Linked DNA regions of Callithrix jacchus. The protein of the gene in region 1 interacts with the protein of each later gene in a pairwise test. Links are inferred from orthologs where the notes say so. Each region holds a gene or a part of one and is shown on either strand. Other genes may lie near its edges.

Region 1 (5,823 bases):
TATTCCCATCCACCCTCCCATCCCGCACCAGTACCCCCATTCTCTCCAGCCCCTACCAACGTCATAATCCCATTCCCCCACCCCCAACCACGCAGCATCCGGTTCCAGCCAGTCACACCCACGTGCCCGGATGTGACGCCACTGACTTGCGCGTGGGGGCGAGTTAGAGAGAAGCGCGGTTCTTGGTCCGACCAGCAGTTTGGGATTGACGGAGAGAGGCACGCAAGGCTCTGCCGCCACCCCAATACCCCCACCCCCAACCACGCCGGATCCGGTTCCACCCAGTCACGCCCGGATGTGACGCCACTGACTTGCGCATGGGGGGCGGGTTAGAGAGAAGCGCGGTTCTTGGTCTGACCAGCAGCTCGGGATTGGTGGAGGCAACCGGGCAAGGCACTGTTAGGAGGAATGCTGAGACGCTGAGGGAGGACTCAGGAGCTCCCCACGCGAGATAGATGACGCCAAATAATCCATTACAACTCTGCTGCCAGCTCTAGGCCACCCGTGGCTGGACTTCTGAGTGGGGGATGGGCACCACGGCCACTGTGGTTGAAGTCACAGGGGACTCGGGACTCAAAGGGCTTGGCGTGGTCAGTGCAAGACTGGTGGGGATAGGCTCTGCCATGAATTAACTGCAGGATCCCAGGAGAGGGCTCTGAGTCCCCCATTCCGTCCCCATTCCCCAACCCATTTTTATTCCCATCCACCCTCCCATCCCGCACCAGTACCCCCATTCTCTCCAGCCCCTACCAACGTCATAATCCCATTCCCCCACCCCCAACCACGCAGCATCCGGTTCCACCCAGGTGCCCGGATGTGACGCCACTGACTTTCGCGTGGGGGCGGGTTAGAGAGAAGCGCAGTTCTTGGTCCGACCAGCGGTTTGGGATTGACGGAGAGAGGCGGGCAACGCTCTGTTAGGAGGTAAGGTGAGACGTAGAGGGAGGACGCAGGAGGTCCCCTTCCCCGGTAGACGACTCCAAATAATCTCTTACCACTCCGGCTGCCAGCCCTCGGCCACCCGTGGGTGGACTGCTTAGTGGGGGAGGGGCACCACCCCTACTGCCGTTGAAGCCACAGGGGACTCGGGACTCAAAGAACTTGGCGTGGTCAATGCAAGACTGGTGGGGTAGGCTGTGCCAGGAATTAACGTGGGGATCCCAGGAGAGGGCTCTGAGTCCCCCATTCCCATCCCCTTTCTCCAACCCATTCTTATTCCCATCCACCCTCCCATCCCGCACCAATACCCCCATTCTCTCAAGCTCCTACCAACCTCATAAACCCATTCCGCCACCCCAATACCCCCACCCCCAACCACGCCGGATCCGGTTCCACCCAGTCACGCCCAGATGTGACGCCACTGACTTGCGCATGGGCGGCGGGTTAGAGAGAAGCGCGGTTCTTGGTCTGACCAGCAGCTCGGGATTGGGGGAGGCAAGCGGGCAAGGCACTGTTAGGAGGAATGCTGAGACGCTGAGGGAGGACTCAGGAGCTCCCCACGCGAGATAGATGACGCCAAATAATCCATTACAACTCTGCTGCCAGCTCTGGGCCACCCGTGGCTGGACTTCTGAGTGGGGGATGGGCACCACGGCCACTGTGGTTGGAGTCACAGGGGTCTCGGGACTCAAAGGGCTTGGCGTAGTCAGTGCAAGATTGGTGGGGATAGGCTCTGCCATGAATTAACTGCAGGATCCCAGGAGAGGGCTCTGAGTCCCCCATTCCGTCTCCATTCCCCAACCCATTTTTATTCCCATCCACCCTCCCATCCCGCACCAGTAACCCCATTCTCTCCAGCCCCTACCAACGTCATAATCCCATTCCCCCACCCGCAACCACGCAGCATCCGGTTCCACCCAGGTGCCCGGATGTGACGCCACTGACTTGCGCATGGAGGGTGGATTAGAGAGAAGCGTGGTTCTTGGTCCGACCAGCAGCTCGGGGTTGACGGAGAGAAGCGGGCAAGGCGCTGTTAGGAAGCAAGGCGAGACGCTGAGGGAGGACTCAGTAGCTCCCCACCTTAGATAGAGGACCCCAAATAATCCCTTACCACTCCTGCTGGCTGCCCTGGGCCACCCGTGGGTGGACTTCTGTGTGGGGGAGGGGACCAGTCAGAGTGCCGTTTAAGCCACAGGGGACTCGGGACTCAAAGGGTTTGGCGTGGTCAATGCAAGACTGGTGGGGGTAGGCTCGGCCAGGAATTAACTTCAGGATCTTAGGAGAGGGCTCCGAGTCCCCCATTCTGTCCCCATTCCCCAACCCATTCTTATTCCCATCCACCCTCCCATCCCGCACCAGTACCCCCATTCTCTCCAGCCCCTACTAACCTCATAATCCCATTTCTCCCACCCCCAACCACGCAGCATCCGGTTCCACCCAGGTGCCCGGATGTGACGCCACTGACTTGCGCATGGGGGGTGGATTAGAGAGAAGCGTGGTTCTTGGTCCGACCAGCAGCTCGGGGTTGACGGAGAGAAGCAGGTAAGGCTCTGTTAAGAAGCAAGGCGAGACGCTGAGGGAGGACTCAGTAGCTCCCCACCTTAGATAGAGGACCCCAAATAATCCCTTACCACTCCTGCTGGCTGCCCTGGGCCACCCGTGGGTGGACTTCTGCGTGGGGGAGGGGACCAGTCAGAGTGCCGTTTAAGCCACAGGGGACTCGGGACTCAAAGGGTTTGGCTTGGTCAATGCAAGACTGGTGGGGGTAGGCTCGGCCAGGAATTAACTTCAGGATCTTAGGAGAGGGCTCCGAGTCCCCCATTCTGTCCCCATTCCCCAACCCATTCTTATTCCCATCCACCCTCCCATCCCGCACCAGTACCCCCATTCTCTCCAGCCCCTACTAACCTCATAATCCCATTCCCCCACCCCCAACCACGCAGCATCCGGTTCCACCCAGGTGCCCGGATGTGACGCCACTGACTTGCGCATGGGGGGTGGATTAGAGAGAAGCGTGGTTCTTGGTCCGACCAGCAGCTCGGGGTTGACGGAGAGAAGCGGGTAAGGCTCTGTTAAGAAGCAAGGCGAGACGCTGAGGGAGGACTCAGTAGCTCCCCACCTTAGATAGAGGACCCCAAATAATCCCTTACCACTCCTGCTGGCTGCCCTGGGCCACCCGTGGGTGGACTTCTGCGTGGGGGAGGGGACCAGTCAGAGTGCCGTTTAAGCCACAGGGGACTCGGGACTCAAAGGGTTTGGCTTGGTCAATGCAAGACTGGTGGGGGTAGGCTCGGCCAGGAATTAACTTCAGGATCTTAGGAGAGGGCTCCGAGTCCCCCATTCTGTCCCCATTCCCCAACCCATTCTTATTCCCATCCACCCTCCCATCCCGCACCAGTACCCCCATTCTCTCCAGCCCCTACTAACCTCATAATCCCATTCCCCCACCCCCAACCACGCAGCATCCGGTTCCACCCAGGTGCCCGGATGTGACGCCACTGACTTGCGCATGGGGGGTGGATTAGAGAGAAGCGTGGTTCTTGGTCCGACCAGCAGCTCGGGGTTGACGGAGAGAAGCGGGTAAGGCTCTGTTAAGAAGCAAGGCGAGACGCTGAGGGAGGACTCAGTAGCTCCCCACCTTAGATAGAGGACCCCAAATAATCCCTTACCACTCCTGCTGGCTGCCCTGGGCCACCCGTGGGTGGACTTCTGCGTGGGGGAGGGGACCAGTCAGAGTGCCGTTTAAGCCACAGGGGACTCGGGACTCAAAGGGTTTGGCGTGGTCAATGCAAGACTGGTGGGGGTAGGCTCGGCCAGGAATTAACTTCAGGATCTTAGGAGAGGGCTCCGAGTCCCCCATTCTGTCCCCATTCCCCAACCCATTCTTATTCCCATCCACTCTCCCATCCCGCACCAGTACCCCCATTCTCTCCAGCCCCTACCAACGTCATAATCCCATTCCCCCACCCCCAACCACGCAGCATCCGGTTCCAGCCAGTCACACCCAGGTGCCCGGATGTGACGCCACTGACTTGCGCGTGGGGGGCGGGTTAGAGAGAAGCGCGGTTCTAGGTCAGACCAGCAGCTCGGGATTGACGGAGGGAAGCGGGCAAGGCTCTGTTAGGAGGTAAGTTGAGACGCTGAGGGAGGAAGCAGGAGGTCCCCTCCCCAGATAGAGGACCCCAAGTAATACATTAGCACTATTGCTGCCAGCTCTGGGCCACCGTGGGTGGACTTCTGAGTGGGGGAGGGGCACCACCCCCATTGAAGCCACAGGGGACTCGGGACTCAAAGAGCTTGGCATGGTAAATGCAAGACTGGTGGGGGTAGTCTTTGCCAGGAATCAACGTGGGGATCCGAGGAGAGAGCTCAGAGTCCCACATCCGTCCCCATCCCCCAACCCATTCTTATTCCTATCCACCTTCCCATCCCGCACCAGTACCCTTATCCTCTCCAGCCCCTACCAACCTCATAATCCCAATCCCCCACCCCCAACCACGCAGCATCCGGTTCCACCCAGTCACACCCAGGTGCCCGGATGTGACGTCACTGACTTGCGCGTGGGGGGCGGGTTAGAGAGAAGCGCGGTTCTTGGTCTCACCAGCAGCTTGGGATTGGGGGAGGGAAGCGGGCAAGGCTCTGTTAGGAGGCAAGGTGAGACGCTGAGGGAGGGACGCAAGAGGTTCCCGTTCCAGATAGACGACCCCAAATAATCCATTAGCACTCCCTCTGCCAGCTCTGGGCTACCTGTGGGTGGACTTCTGAGTGGGGAGGGGCACCAACCCCACTGCCGTTTAACCCACAGGGGACTCGGGAGTCAGTGTTTGGGTTGGTCAATGCAAGACCGGTGGGGGTAGGCTCTGCCAGGAATTAACGTGGGGATCCCAGGAGAGGGTTGAGCCTCCCCCATTTCCAACCGCATCCACAGCCCATTCTTATTCCCATCCACCCTCCCATTCCCCACCAGTACCCATATTCTCTTCAGCCCCTACCAACCTCATAATTCCAATTCCCCAACCCAACACAGACGCCCATCCACGCAGCATCCAGTTTCACCCCGTCACACCCAAGTGCCCGGATGTGATGCTACGGGCTTGCACACGGAGCGGGGGTGTTAGAGAGAAGCGCGGTTCTTGGTATGACCAGCAGCTTGAGATTGGCAGAGAGAAGCTGGCAAAGTTCTGTTAGGAGGCAAGGTGAGATGCTGAGGGAGGACTCAGGAGGTCCTTACCCCAGATTGATGACCCCAAATTGTCCCGTACGATTCCTGCTGCCACTCCTGGGCCACCCATGGGTGGACTTCTGTGTGGGGGAGGGGCACCACCCCCACTGCGGTTTAAGCCACAGGGAACTCGGGAGTCAGAGTTTGAGCTGGTGAGTGCAAGACTGGTGGGGGTAGGCTCTGCCAGGAATCAACGTGGGGATCCCAGGAGAGGGCTCAGAGTCCCACATCCGTCCCCATCTCCCAACCCATTCTTATTCCCATCCACCCTCCCATTTCCCACCATTACCCCTATTCTCTCCAGCCCCTACCAACCTCATAATCTCATACCCCCAGCCCCATCCACGCAGCGTTTGGTTTCACCCAGTCACTCCCAGGTGCCCGGATGTGATGCTACTGACTTGTGCATGGGGCGGGGGTGTTAGAGAGAAGCCCGGGTTCTTGGTAGGACCAGCAGTTTGGGATTGATGGAGCGAAGCGGGCAGGGCTGTTACGAGGCAAGGTGAGATGCTGAGGGAGGACTCAGGAGGTCCCCACCCCAGATAGATGACCCCAAATAATCCCTTACCACTCCTGCTGCCAGCCCTGGGCCACCAGTGGGTGGACTTCTGAGTAGGGGAGGGGCACCACCCCCACTGCCGTTTAAGCCACAAGGAACTTGG
Region 2 (5,859 bases), on another chromosome or scaffold:
TATTTCTTGAACTAGACTATGGAAACAATATATGAGCCTCTTAAAATCCAATGCCACAAAATTCACATTTTATCTAAACCATTTAAAAAATATTTTAAACGTTTACTTTGCTCTTAAACACACATTAATAAACCACATCTCTACTTCTTACAGTTTAAATCTGAGCTCAAGGTATTAAAGAATCTTAAAATGATAGTATACTAAGGAACCTGCAACTTTTGCTTACACTTTCCAGAGGCTTCAATAATAAAAGATGAAGTTCATGGCAAATTATAAAGTTCTAATAAAAGTTTAGGAATCATATGATTGCATGGATGTGAGAAAATTTTAAAATTCGAAAAATCTCTACTTTCAATGTTTATATAACTTAAAATTTTAAGTGGAAGAGTTGGGAGGGGAGGTTTATAAGGAAAATGTCTTGCTGCTTACTTAAATCATTAACAAGTCAAACATTTTAGAGGCTTTCATCCCTCTCCTCTCAAAAAAATTTTTAACAGGAACTGGATTTAACATAATACAATGTGATTTAATTTTAAAATCTTCTGATATATATAAGAACTGAAATATTTTTTTGGAACCACAGTAACACTTGTAAAAGCAATGCTCTCAGAAAAAGAAAAAAAAGAAAACAGAAAAGAAAGTACAGCTGCTTACCCAGTTTATTGAATCCTGCAGCATTGTAATACCATTTTCGCATAATCTCCAGCAACCTGCTTGATGCTGAAACTGATCATTGTCACACTGTTAGTTGCCAGAATTAAACTATATGAACACTTTGATAGGGAAGCAACCAGTACTCATAGTTATCTTGCTAATACAAACATAGAAATTTCCTTTTAAATGTATATACTCTATATAGGAAGAATTTAATTAAAAAAGAATTTGATTTAAAAGAAAAAAGTTTACACTCTATACACTGCTGATAAAAAAAATGCTTATTTTACTTATGAACAAAAGTGGCTGCAGGAAAAAAAATTAGGTGGCAAGTCATGGAAGAAAAGGTTAAACTCAAACACTGAATGTACAAAAGATCTACAGGTACATCACGTGCCCTCTTATAGCCCCATTACCTTCAAAATTGAAGGGGTGGGAGATAGGAATAGGACTTGGATGTTTCTATTATTTGTAGTTTCATAAATAGATCACCGGAAATAATTGTAAAGCTTTCCATTTCAAAGGAGTTGGAGTTGTATGAAAAGAGACTGAGATTTCAGCAGAGGCTGGCAGGCCTAAATGACCCCCATCCTCTAAAATTTTTACTCAACATTAGTTATTTCACTTGGCCACACTCTCTAAACATTTATGTATTTTGGGGAGAATTTTGATACCATTAGTCATTTAAACATTAATGTGGATTAGTAAAAGAAGTCCATCTTCCTCCTCTTAAGCAGCTAAGTTCTCCCCAAGGGAATGGATACTGAAAACGGATGAGGAGAAATAAATAATTTTAAATCTCTTTGGGGAGCAGGGATGAGCCTGATGAAGTAACCCAGCAGGGTCCAAGGACAGCATGACAGTACCTGACATTTTAGGAGAGACATTTTAGAAAGGGGGAGGTAGCTGGGGAGAAATGCCAAATGTGGGTGAAGGGGAGAAGAAAAGAAAGCACACTGCCATGTGTGTACCTACGCAACTGTCTTGCATGCTCTGCTCATGTACCCCAAAACCTATAATCCAATAAAAAATTTAAAAAAAAAAGAAAAAAAAAAAAAGAAAGGGGGAGGTAGAACAAGTATAATTTTCTTTTAAAATTTTGTCTAGGGCTAGCCCCTTACCAAAAAGGAAAGCAAACTCTCACTCAACTGTCCTTGCCTGCACACTCAGTGCACTACGGATTACATGGCTTCAGTAAATCTCCTTGGAAATTAAGAGTCATGTATAAAACTGCTGCTAGAAAAGTAAGTATGAGTCAACAATCTACAGACATACTTGTGGAAGACAGATTATTATTATTGTTATTATTTTGAGATGGAGTTTCACTCTGTCACCCAGGCTGGAGTGCAGTGGAGTGATCTTGACTCAAGCTCCGCCTCCCAGGTTCAAGCGATTCTCTAGCCTCAGCCTCCTGAGTAGCTGAGACTATCGGTGCCCGCACCACGCCTAACTAATTTTTGTATTTTCAGTAGAGATGGGGTTTCACCAGACTGGCCAGGCTGGTCTCGAACTCCTGACCTCGTGATCCACCTGCCTCGATCTCCCAAAGTGCTGGGATTACAGGTGTGAGCTACCACGCCTGGCTGGAAGACAGATTATTTTTAAACATCTACCAGTGACTATGATAATAATTAATATTCACTAAGCACTTACTGTGTGCCAAGCACTTTCCTATTTGCTTTACCAACATTAGCTGATTTATTTACATGTCTGTTATTACAGAAGGGGAAGGAGGCTTACAGAAGTGATCCCACCAAAGGTCAGAAGAGTTAGCTAATGGGAGTTGAGATCTGGTCTATATGGTTCCCAAACACAGCACAGAAGCAGTGTTTTGAATTTAGTAAGACTCCCACAATAGCTGCCAAATTCATAAAATAATTACTAAAAAGTCTCCCCCCATCCCTAAAAAGCTCAACGCCAATTAGGTTAACGGATTTTTCTGGCAACTTGCTGTTTCCTAACAGCTTCACAGGTGCTGGAGAAGGGGAGGAAAAGATCAGTATTTTTTTAAAAACTGCTCTAATTTGTACCGCCAGTGGGCAGAGATTAGCAAAAACAAAAACAAAAACAAAAAACCCAGGGAAAACCCAACTTAAGGTTCACTTTGTTTTAAGTATTCCAGTAATATCTGCATTCTATTCCACAATAAATGCATTTGAACCTCCAATAAGTAAATTTCTCCAAATCTACTGATTAAGCTGACGTTCCAGATAATCCAAGGTTAACCTGAAGCGTTGCTTGTATCCCCTGCTCAACAGCCTCTAATTCGCAATTTGAGAAGCGCGAGGGGTGCAATGAAGTTTCTAATTCTACTTCCTTGGGTTATGTTGCCTCAGTTATCTCATCAGCGTAGAAAGGAAATTAATATCTCCCTCATCGCACTGGCAGGAGAATTTATTCAGCCAATGCACACGACAGAGCGATTAGGTCACAGAAAGCACTGAGCTCATTCTGGTTCAAAGTCATCGACTAGTTACCCCCTTGTGCCCTTGAACTTTTCTAAGGCCGACGGGAAGGAATGCCGAACACCTGCAGCTGGAACTCCAGGGCTGTCAGAGCCACCGCGGGCACCTCCACAAACAGCGGGTTAATATCCCAACTCTACAGGCAAGCCCGGCCTGGGGACAGCAAACGAATGGGGAGGCAAGTACTTTCGGCTGAACTGAAGCCACCACTTTCCCTTCCGCGACAAACCTGGCCATTTACAAAGAAGAGAGAAAACGGAGCGAACTGCTGCGAAAATAAAAGGTGTAGCGCGACTATGCCCGCCAAGGAAGACCCCCTCCCACCCCCCGCCAATCACTTACCAGCCGGCCGGCCAGCCATTATGACCAGAAAGCGAAGCGTCGCCTTCTGGGTAAGTCAAAGAGGACAGGCTGGGCGCAGTGCGCAGGCGCGTTACGTCGCGTCGCGAATCGATGAAGGCCGCTCGCACAGGCGCAGTTCTGACGGCTGTCGGTGAGCACCTGCGGGCGTACATCTCCGCCAGGGTGAGGCCAATAGAGTGGGCGGGGCATTTGGCGTGCTCTGTTCTAAGAAGCATTGGTTGCGGTATGTTGGGAAGAACACTAGGACAGGAATTAGGAGACCGAGGCTTAAGGCTAGGTTCTGTTACTTAATGTCCATAGCTATGAGAGCGTGGGCGGTATTAATTGAGCTCTTTGTGCCAGGCAGGAAGCAAGGGCATCATCTTATTTAGTTTTCTATTGAAGGACTGATGAATGTGCCATCCAAAATATATGGAATTGGTACATTGATTATTTCGAGTTGAAAATGTTGGAGAAATTGTAGTTTCACTAAGTGTTTGATGACCCATCTCTTCCTGCATGCAGCAAGCCATAAAGCTTCCTCCAGTACTCCTTTGGAGTACTCGTCCCTTACCAGGGGGAGAAAATATCACCCATCACCGGAGACTGGAAACTGGGGGCTGCTTTGGACCTGAATATACTTTCCGAAGTAACCCTTGTCTTCCACTGAGTTGACACCCCACCACACACACGTTTCTCCTAATGACTCCACAAGAAATTTACTGCCCCTAGCCACATCCCCTTTCTTCTCAGATTTGCCATATAAAGTATACTCTTCTAAAAAGTATAAAGGCATCTTGCATTGGCCATTTCACTCTCTTGTGAAGATCTCCGTGTACATGTAAAACTAATTTGGAGGCTTTTCTCTTGTTAATCTACCTTGTGTCAATTTGGTTCCTAGATCCAACCAAAGAGCTCACATAAGAGAAGAGGGGAAAGAGGGTTGGAGGTGATCTCTCACATCCTACACTATCACTTAATTCTGAAAGTACTGTAATTATCTCATTGTAGAGAGGAGAAAGCTGAGGCTCAGAAAGGTTGAGTAACTTGTCCAAGAGCACACAGCTAGAAGAGTCCAGGTTCTCCTTCCAGAGTCTGAGAATCCAGACACAAATTTGGGGGCTACTTAATTCTAGGGCCATATGTTACACTACTAATCCAGGAGAGACACCGAGCTTCTCAGGCCTTGGGTTTCTCCAGCTGAAGATCTACATCTAGCTATATTAGCGGAAGGTTAGGTCAAAGAAGTTTGTTTTTGTCACCTCTTTTTTTGTTGTTATTCAGCCTCTGTCAGTCAGGCTGAATGGCACAATCTCGGCTCACTGCAATCTCTGTCTCCTGAGTTCAAACTATTTGTGCCTCAGCCTCCTGAGCAGCTGGGACTACAGGTGCACATGCCACCATGCCTACTAATTCTTGTATTTTTAGCAGAGATGGCGTTTCACCGTGTTGACCAGGCTGAACAAACTGAGTATCAAACTCTTGACCTCAAGTGATCCACCCACCTTGTCCTCCCAAAATGCTGGATTACAGGCATGAGCCACCATGACCAGCAGAAGAGATTTTTTGAAGATTAAATCTAAGATGTATTGCAGAATTTGCACACAATTTTAAGACAAAATGGAAGTATTTGCTGACTTTTAAGATCTCAGCCCCAACATGCAAAGTCTTAGGCATAAACATCTAGGGACAAAAAACAATTCGGTGGAGCTAGGATGACTTATAGTTACTAGTGCACTTCTACCATTACTCAGTGATATCTTTTTTTCCCCTCAGTTTTAAGCTCGGAGTTGGGACCATATAGAATAGAATCTTGTAAGTTCAAAAGCTTAGATTTAATGGCCTTGGTCACATTCCAGCTCTAAAATTCTATTGATTTTCCCCTTTTTCTTCTGTCTTCATGCTGCCACAGTTTCTTCTATTAGTCAGTTCTGTATGCAGCACTAAAACTGATGAATGACCTCTTCTATCCTACACTAGCCAAAGTGAAGTCCGAAAGATGTGAAGAAATACATTTGTACATTGGCAAACTGCCCTGCAGAGGATAGGAGCTCAATAAACTTGTTTCTTCCTCCTTACCCTTTAAGTTTTAGCTTGTTGGTTACAGGTGAAGGTGGCAAGAGAAGACATATCAAAAGATAAAAAAACCCAAATTGTTACAAAATCCAGCTCCTAAGGAATTCAGTGTCTCTTAGAGAGACTGTTTGGTGGTAGTCATTAATGTTGATTCAAAAACTAGTTTTGGTTTTCTTTCCTCCTAGCACGGGATTAGAGATTGCCTTTCTCTGCCCTCTTCAAGTTAGGCATGGCCATGTGATACTTTGGCCAAGAAAAATGTGGTAACTTTTTAAGAGCAATTCTTCACATTCCTTTTGTTTTCCATAGACTGGCAACACTC
Region 3 (5,859 bases), about 39 Mb from region 1:
AGCGATAATCATTACAAATTCTTATGTATTCCTTTATGCAATAAATATACTTCTGAGAAGGCCCAGTTAGAGTGAATTTTTATATATCAAGTCACAGTTTAAAGGCACTAACTAGGAAAGCTAGTACTTACAAAGAAACCTGTTGTGGATTCTTTTATAAAGCAAATGACCTCCTATTTTCTTTCTTTCTTTTTCTTTTTCTTTTTTGTTCAGATTGTGTGTGTTGTGTGTGGAAGGGGCGACTTCCCTCCTTTCTCTGGGTTAAAAGGGGTCAGAAGCCCACCATGGAGGAGAGTAATGCAGTATGGCCAGCCTGTTTAATACCCCCTTAGTTCCCGGGACAAAATTCTAACCTTTGACTTGGGGGTGGAACCCTAGATTTTGGACCAAAGTCCACAAAAGGCAGCAAGGAGGGAAAAGTAAGTAAGACTAAAGACAACACATCATAGTAAAACACCAACAAAAATTCCTGGGGACAGGAAATCAATGGATCACAATTCTAAACAAATTGGTTTAGTCCCCAGCTAATTAACTTGTCAAGCAGATCACTAAACCTACTGAATCCATGGGAGAAAGAGATGATGTAATAGGAGATTTGGAAACATTTACCCATTTACCATCCTAAAAGGCTCCACTACGACCACACACACCTCTCCCCACCCCTTTCAATGTGTTTAAGCTGGGCTTAATGGGTGCAAAGGACAATTTCTACCAGACAGTCCCCAAGAATAGACTGTTCTCATGCATTCCAAATGCTCAGTCTCCATGGAGGAGGCTACCTGGTCGCAAGCATTTCCCAAGCGGGAATATATCCTCTATTCCTCCTCACTGGTAACAACTCCCCCACTCCACCCCCACGCCCCAAACAAAACAAAACTTCTAACCATCTTGAGAACCTCAGGGGACTTTTCTGAGGTAAAGGACAAGAAACGTTAAGAGGGGAACAGGAAAGTGTGAGAAACTCCTCTTGTCTCCAAATGGAAAAAAGGCCTTAAAAAGCTGGATCAAAGGAAGAAAGGGGGATGGGGAAGAAGGGCTGCTTAATTACAAAGACACCCTTTTAAAGAAGGCGCAGGCCCTGGGAGAGGGCTCTTAGGAGAGGCACAGAAGCAGATGTACCCACTTAGAATTCTGGCACTCAATGGGACCTCAAGGTCATAGTATCCATCCCCCTGCCTTCTGATTAGGCTATTCTTAAAGCATTCTAGAGTCTGATGTGGTCTTTACAAAACCTCAGAGAAAGCAACTCTACAAATGTCCTAGTTGGGAATTAGTCTAATAAATCCAACTTCATAAACTGGAAATGAGATTTTAATTTCTAAATCCAAAATTGAATTGACTATTAATTATTAAAATTCCCTTTCTAAAATCTTTTAAATAGCTAAACAGATCCACAAATTTCATGTAAAAGTGACTCCACATACAACGAGGTTTACTTCACATCTACACCATGAAGGTAGAAAAAAACACTTTCAATTTTACAAAGCCACAAACTTTTCCAAAGAAAGAAGTAATTTAAAATGAAGTATGATGTCGTGCCAGAAAGTGTCTGTCGATGACACCGGATAAACCCATACAGAATAGCTGGAACCTGAGTTATCATCTGTAAATAGATGCAACTATTCTACAACCACCTGGCTGTTAAAGTGTCCCAGGCCAGTTATAAAATGTAGTTTGGCTAGGCCAGCTTTTCCCTCCCAGCTGATCTGAAACAGGATAGCCTTTAAAACTGTCGCCATGTAACGTTCCTTCTCTACCTTCCTACCTTCCTTTCCCTCATTAAAATCAACCAAAGCTATTTTTAAATGTATGTAAATAATGTGTTCCCAAATAAGCAATGAGTTCAGGACATCACAGAAATAAGTCTTTGAACACCACGACTTACAAGTTTGATGCACTTGTCCAATTGAAGATAGGTGGGAGATGGATGAAAATGTATCCCACATCCAAAATGGCATTTCAAACTATTCTTAGCTACTAAATGAGGGTGCTGAAAGGTCTGAGAAGGCTTCACAAAGGCTGGCCTGAGAAAGAACTTTTCACAAAGCCTAGCTCAAGGAGACTTAAATACCCTTAGCCCTTCATCATTGAAGATTATGGTGACTAATTATCTTCCTCTCTGAATGGGAGAAGAGGGTTATATTCATAAAAGTTTTAAACTGCCTCCCAACTTCCACGGAGGGAGGAGAACTGAACTAAACATCCTAGGTTGTTGAAAAATTCTTTCTAAAACATACGCTAGAGATTGAAAATGCTGTTTCTCACCAACTTCCTCTTTCCTTGCTCATTTAATCTTATTTAGTCACTTTATGAACATTATTATATTATTATTAGTGGAAATTTACCAGGAACTGCTCATAGTCTATTATAAAGGCGTATTTTTACTCCCACTTTTCTTTCTCTTGATTTTCACATATCCACGAAGTCCATCTTACTGTTGAAGCACCAACGTACAGTGGCCCAGGCTTGGACCCTCAAGACACCTGCCTGATCCCCCAAAACTATTTACTAACATCTTTGGATCTTCTAAAGTAGATAGGGGCAATTCCCTCCTCATGACCACTATCACCACCACCACAAGCACCACCACCACCACACATTTCAAAAAGTAGCCTTATGTTTTAGATTACGCAGACTTTAAAACTTCAAGAATTCACGGTCCTACCCCTCCTTCTCCCGCCTCAGGGAGTGTGAGTCCACACCCCAAGCCTAAGCACTTAGGAGAAACCTATCTAGTTATCTGAGATAAGCACTGACTTGCATGCTAGGCTAAAAGTAGATTTCAGCTTCCCTCGGGTCTTTAGCTCCTCAATGTGATTAATTTCCTAGAGACCCAGAAGAACCCCAGGAGGCAAGGAAGTAAAAATACCATCTAGTAGTGGTACCCACTAGCATCTCCTCACTTAAGCAGGACGGGAAAGCAGCGCACACTCTAACCGATTTAACTTGCTGCACATCCTGAAAAACTCATGGCCAGCTGCAAAGACAGCAGAATACACGGGCATTCTCACACGCGCCTAGATCGATTCACTCACGCCGAGGGCACGACCAAGTTCATGCCACCATGGATTCCTGCCCCAGTTCCCCGCAAAAAGTAACCACACGTCTCCTACCCCTGAAGGCAACGAAGACAAGGTGACGACTCTCTGCTCGCTCAAGTGGCTTCGGTCCCGGGCCAGCGGCCAGGGATGGGCAGGGGGGAAGCCCCAACTCCTGGCTGCTCCCCTCTTCGCTGCTCCGTCCGGGCTCTCCTTGGTGGCAGTGGACAGGCAGGATACCGGGCCAGAGGGTGGAGCAGCGGATGGTCGGAGGCGAGATTGACTGGAGGTGGTGGTAGTTGGAGGGGGAGGCGGAGAGAACTAAGAGAAGAGGAGGCGAAAGAGAGCGGAGACGGAGGAGTAATTCAGGGGGTCTACCAGTTTAGGCAGCCAGAAAGCTCCTCGGAAGGAAGGGGCGTGACTGCCAAGGCAGCTCCTGGGCAAAGGATGGGAGGTAGGGGAGGGGGACGAACGGGTGGCTTTTCTTCTTGCGGTGAGCGGCTAGGACCGCCCCGGAGCGGCAGGGCGGGTGGACTGGGGAGGAAGGCGGAGTAGAGGGCGGGGAAAGAAGGGCGGGAGCTTGCCTGGACCCTGGAAGTGAGGAGCGAGGAGAGCGCGGAAGAGAGGCGGGGCCGGGGGGCGGGGAAGTTTCAAACAATTAAACCGCGGGGTCCGAGAGCTCGGGCGAAAGTTGGGGACCCTCGCTCTCGCCTTTCCACTAGAGGGGCACGACTCGGTTGCCGTAGCCGTGAGAGTCTGCGCGGGGACTGGCTGGGGAGAAGGAAAGGGTTTTGCAAAAGACTACAATAATAACCTACGGCAACAGCGCGGCATACTCGCGTGGGAGAGCCAGTGCAGCTCTCCGCCCCACAGCGGGAGGAAGAAAAGCAAATAATAGAAATGCTGAAAAGCAGCTTCCACCAAAGCCTGCTTAAAATAATGAAGGAAGGAGCAGTGCTCCTTCGTTTTCCTTCCCCTCTCGCTTCCTATTACTAGCAGGCCCCCACCCAGGTCACAGCTCTGCGAGACACCCTCCTTTCTTCCTCCGCTCCCCCACCCCGGGAGTTTCCCCCGCCTCCCGATGGCGGGCTGCAGAAGCTGCGGGGCGAGGGAGGAGGGGGTCGTGGGCGGGGCTCTGCAGAGGCTCCGCCCCTGGGCGGGCTGTTAGATGCGGCCTGGGCGGAGCGGGCCCCTGAAGCGTAAGTCCCGCCCACCATTCTTTTGCCGCTACTGGTTGGCCGGGCCTGGCCTAGTATACGTTTGCGATTGGGCCCGGGAGTCGCCAGTCTGATCCTTTTGTCCCACCAGTCCTCAAAATTAATAAAACTAAACAAGAGGCTATTGTGTAGCTCTATGTTCTACCCCAGCTACCGCTGGGAAGAGAAAGATGAGACGCTTTCTCAGTCTCATAAAAGAGTGCAGCAGTGTGTCGGCCGACTCTGGTACGCCTTTATGTTTATAGCACTGTCCAGCCCTCCACGAATAGGTAACTTTTCTTTCCCCTTAATTCATTAAATCCGGAGGGGGAAAAGTACATGAAGTGCCAGTGTGGCGTTCACATTTCCTGGCTGTGGAAGAAAAAAACTGATATTGGTTAAAAACAGAGGGTTGAGAACAGTATACTGGGACACGGAAAATCTACCATTTTACATCTGGGAAAACGAAGGCACAAAGAAACAGTGTAGGGGTAGCAAAATAACATAGAATTGAGAACCAAAAGAAGAATTCATTTGGGGCTCTGGCACTTACTAGCTAATTGTATGACTAATGTTAGGTGGCTTAACTTCTCAGCCTTAATTTTTCTACCTGTAAATAAATGCTGTAAGACATGCCATTAAATTAATGGCACTGGAGTGAAAATGAAATGTGTGTGAAAACTAAAGCACTCCAACATGTATGTGTTCCTACTTGTGTATGACACATAGTGGAGAGTCTTACATGTGTTAGAGAATTAATATTCTGTTCATCTGTTTTAAGCATTTACATCCAAGGTCGTGTAGGTTTTGTGGCTTTATTTTTAAAAATCAGCTCTTTTCCTACAATTTTGGAGATGGATATGAAGTTGACTCCCTGCAGTTAGAATAATAAATTACCCCTTTTCTAAGCAGGGTGGGTGAGATTTCTTTTTTAAAGTTCTACGGTTTCATGACAACTTAAAGCTATTGTGGTTCTGGTACTGAAAGAGGAAATCATGCTGTGTATCTGCAAAGTGAACTTGAGAAAACAAATATGAAGGAACATTTACCATGGAAACCACCATTCTCTACAGATCCATATTTCCTAGAAAATATTTCAAGTAGGAAGCAAGCCTAACTGTAAAGGCCTTGACAGCACAAGGCTGATATAATGAGCTCATGCCCATGAGAGTGACATCCAATTCAAGCCTGCCTAATGGGAGCCATCTGAGAGGCCATGGATCAAGGCATGCAAGAGGAAGTGTGCTTAAAGGAAACACTATCACACAGTAAACTGGGGCTCAGACTGTAACTCTGAGTGCAGGAAAAGTAGGGACGATTGCACATCATGGAGTGTCCAGCATGCTCTGTGGAAATATTCAGAAGCAGGAGTGTGCACAAAATGATTCTGGTTATGATTCAGTTTATGTATGAAGTGAGGTCATTTGAGTGATTTTTCATGGAGAAAGTGAGTTTTTGAACGTTAAAGATATGGAGATACCTGGTTTGTGAAGCAAGGGAAGATTATTTCAGCCTTGTTGTTGGAGTGGATAGGAGAACTAGATGGGAGGGCAGTACTTGCTGCAGGACTACTACTAATCACAGTGGCAACAGCATACTTGTTAAAATCAATGCTGTCCAAGTGA

What was found.
Region 2: the proteins of MAGEA4 (region 1) and UQCRB interact in binary tests that used the Homo sapiens proteins (3 or more experiments, as listed by UniProt). The two-hybrid records come from large-scale screens. The link is inferred for Callithrix jacchus from reciprocal best matches to the Homo sapiens genes MAGEA4 and UQCRB.
Region 3: the proteins of MAGEA4 (region 1) and AMOT interact in binary tests that used the Homo sapiens proteins (3 or more experiments, as listed by UniProt). The two-hybrid records come from large-scale screens. The link is inferred for Callithrix jacchus from reciprocal best matches to the Homo sapiens genes MAGEA4 and AMOT.

The regions. Positions count from the first base shown.
Region 1 is NC_133524.1:148,210,698-148,216,520, forward strand, and holds the start of MAGEA4 (melanoma-associated antigen 4), read left to right. Parts: upstream 1-2,401; 5' UTR 2,402-3,448; coding exon 3,449-3,519; exon of another isoform or gene 3,520-5,135; intron 5,136-5,823. UniProt on the Homo sapiens protein: Regulates cell proliferation through the inhibition of cell cycle arrest at the G1 phase. Also negatively regulates p53-mediated apoptosis.
Region 2 is NC_133517.1:31,004,396-31,010,254, reverse strand, and holds the start of UQCRB (cytochrome b-c1 complex subunit 7), read right to left. Parts: upstream 3,495-5,859; 5' UTR 3,481-3,494; coding exon 3,462-3,480; intron 727-3,461; coding exon 655-726; intron 1-654. UniProt on the Homo sapiens protein: Component of the ubiquinol-cytochrome c oxidoreductase, a multisubunit transmembrane complex that is part of the mitochondrial electron transport chain which drives oxidative phosphorylation.
Region 3 is NC_133524.1:109,163,247-109,169,105, forward strand, and holds the start of AMOT (angiomotin), read right to left. Parts: upstream 3,495-5,859; 5' UTR 3,114-3,494; intron 2,015-3,113; exon of another isoform or gene 1,886-2,014; intron 1-1,885.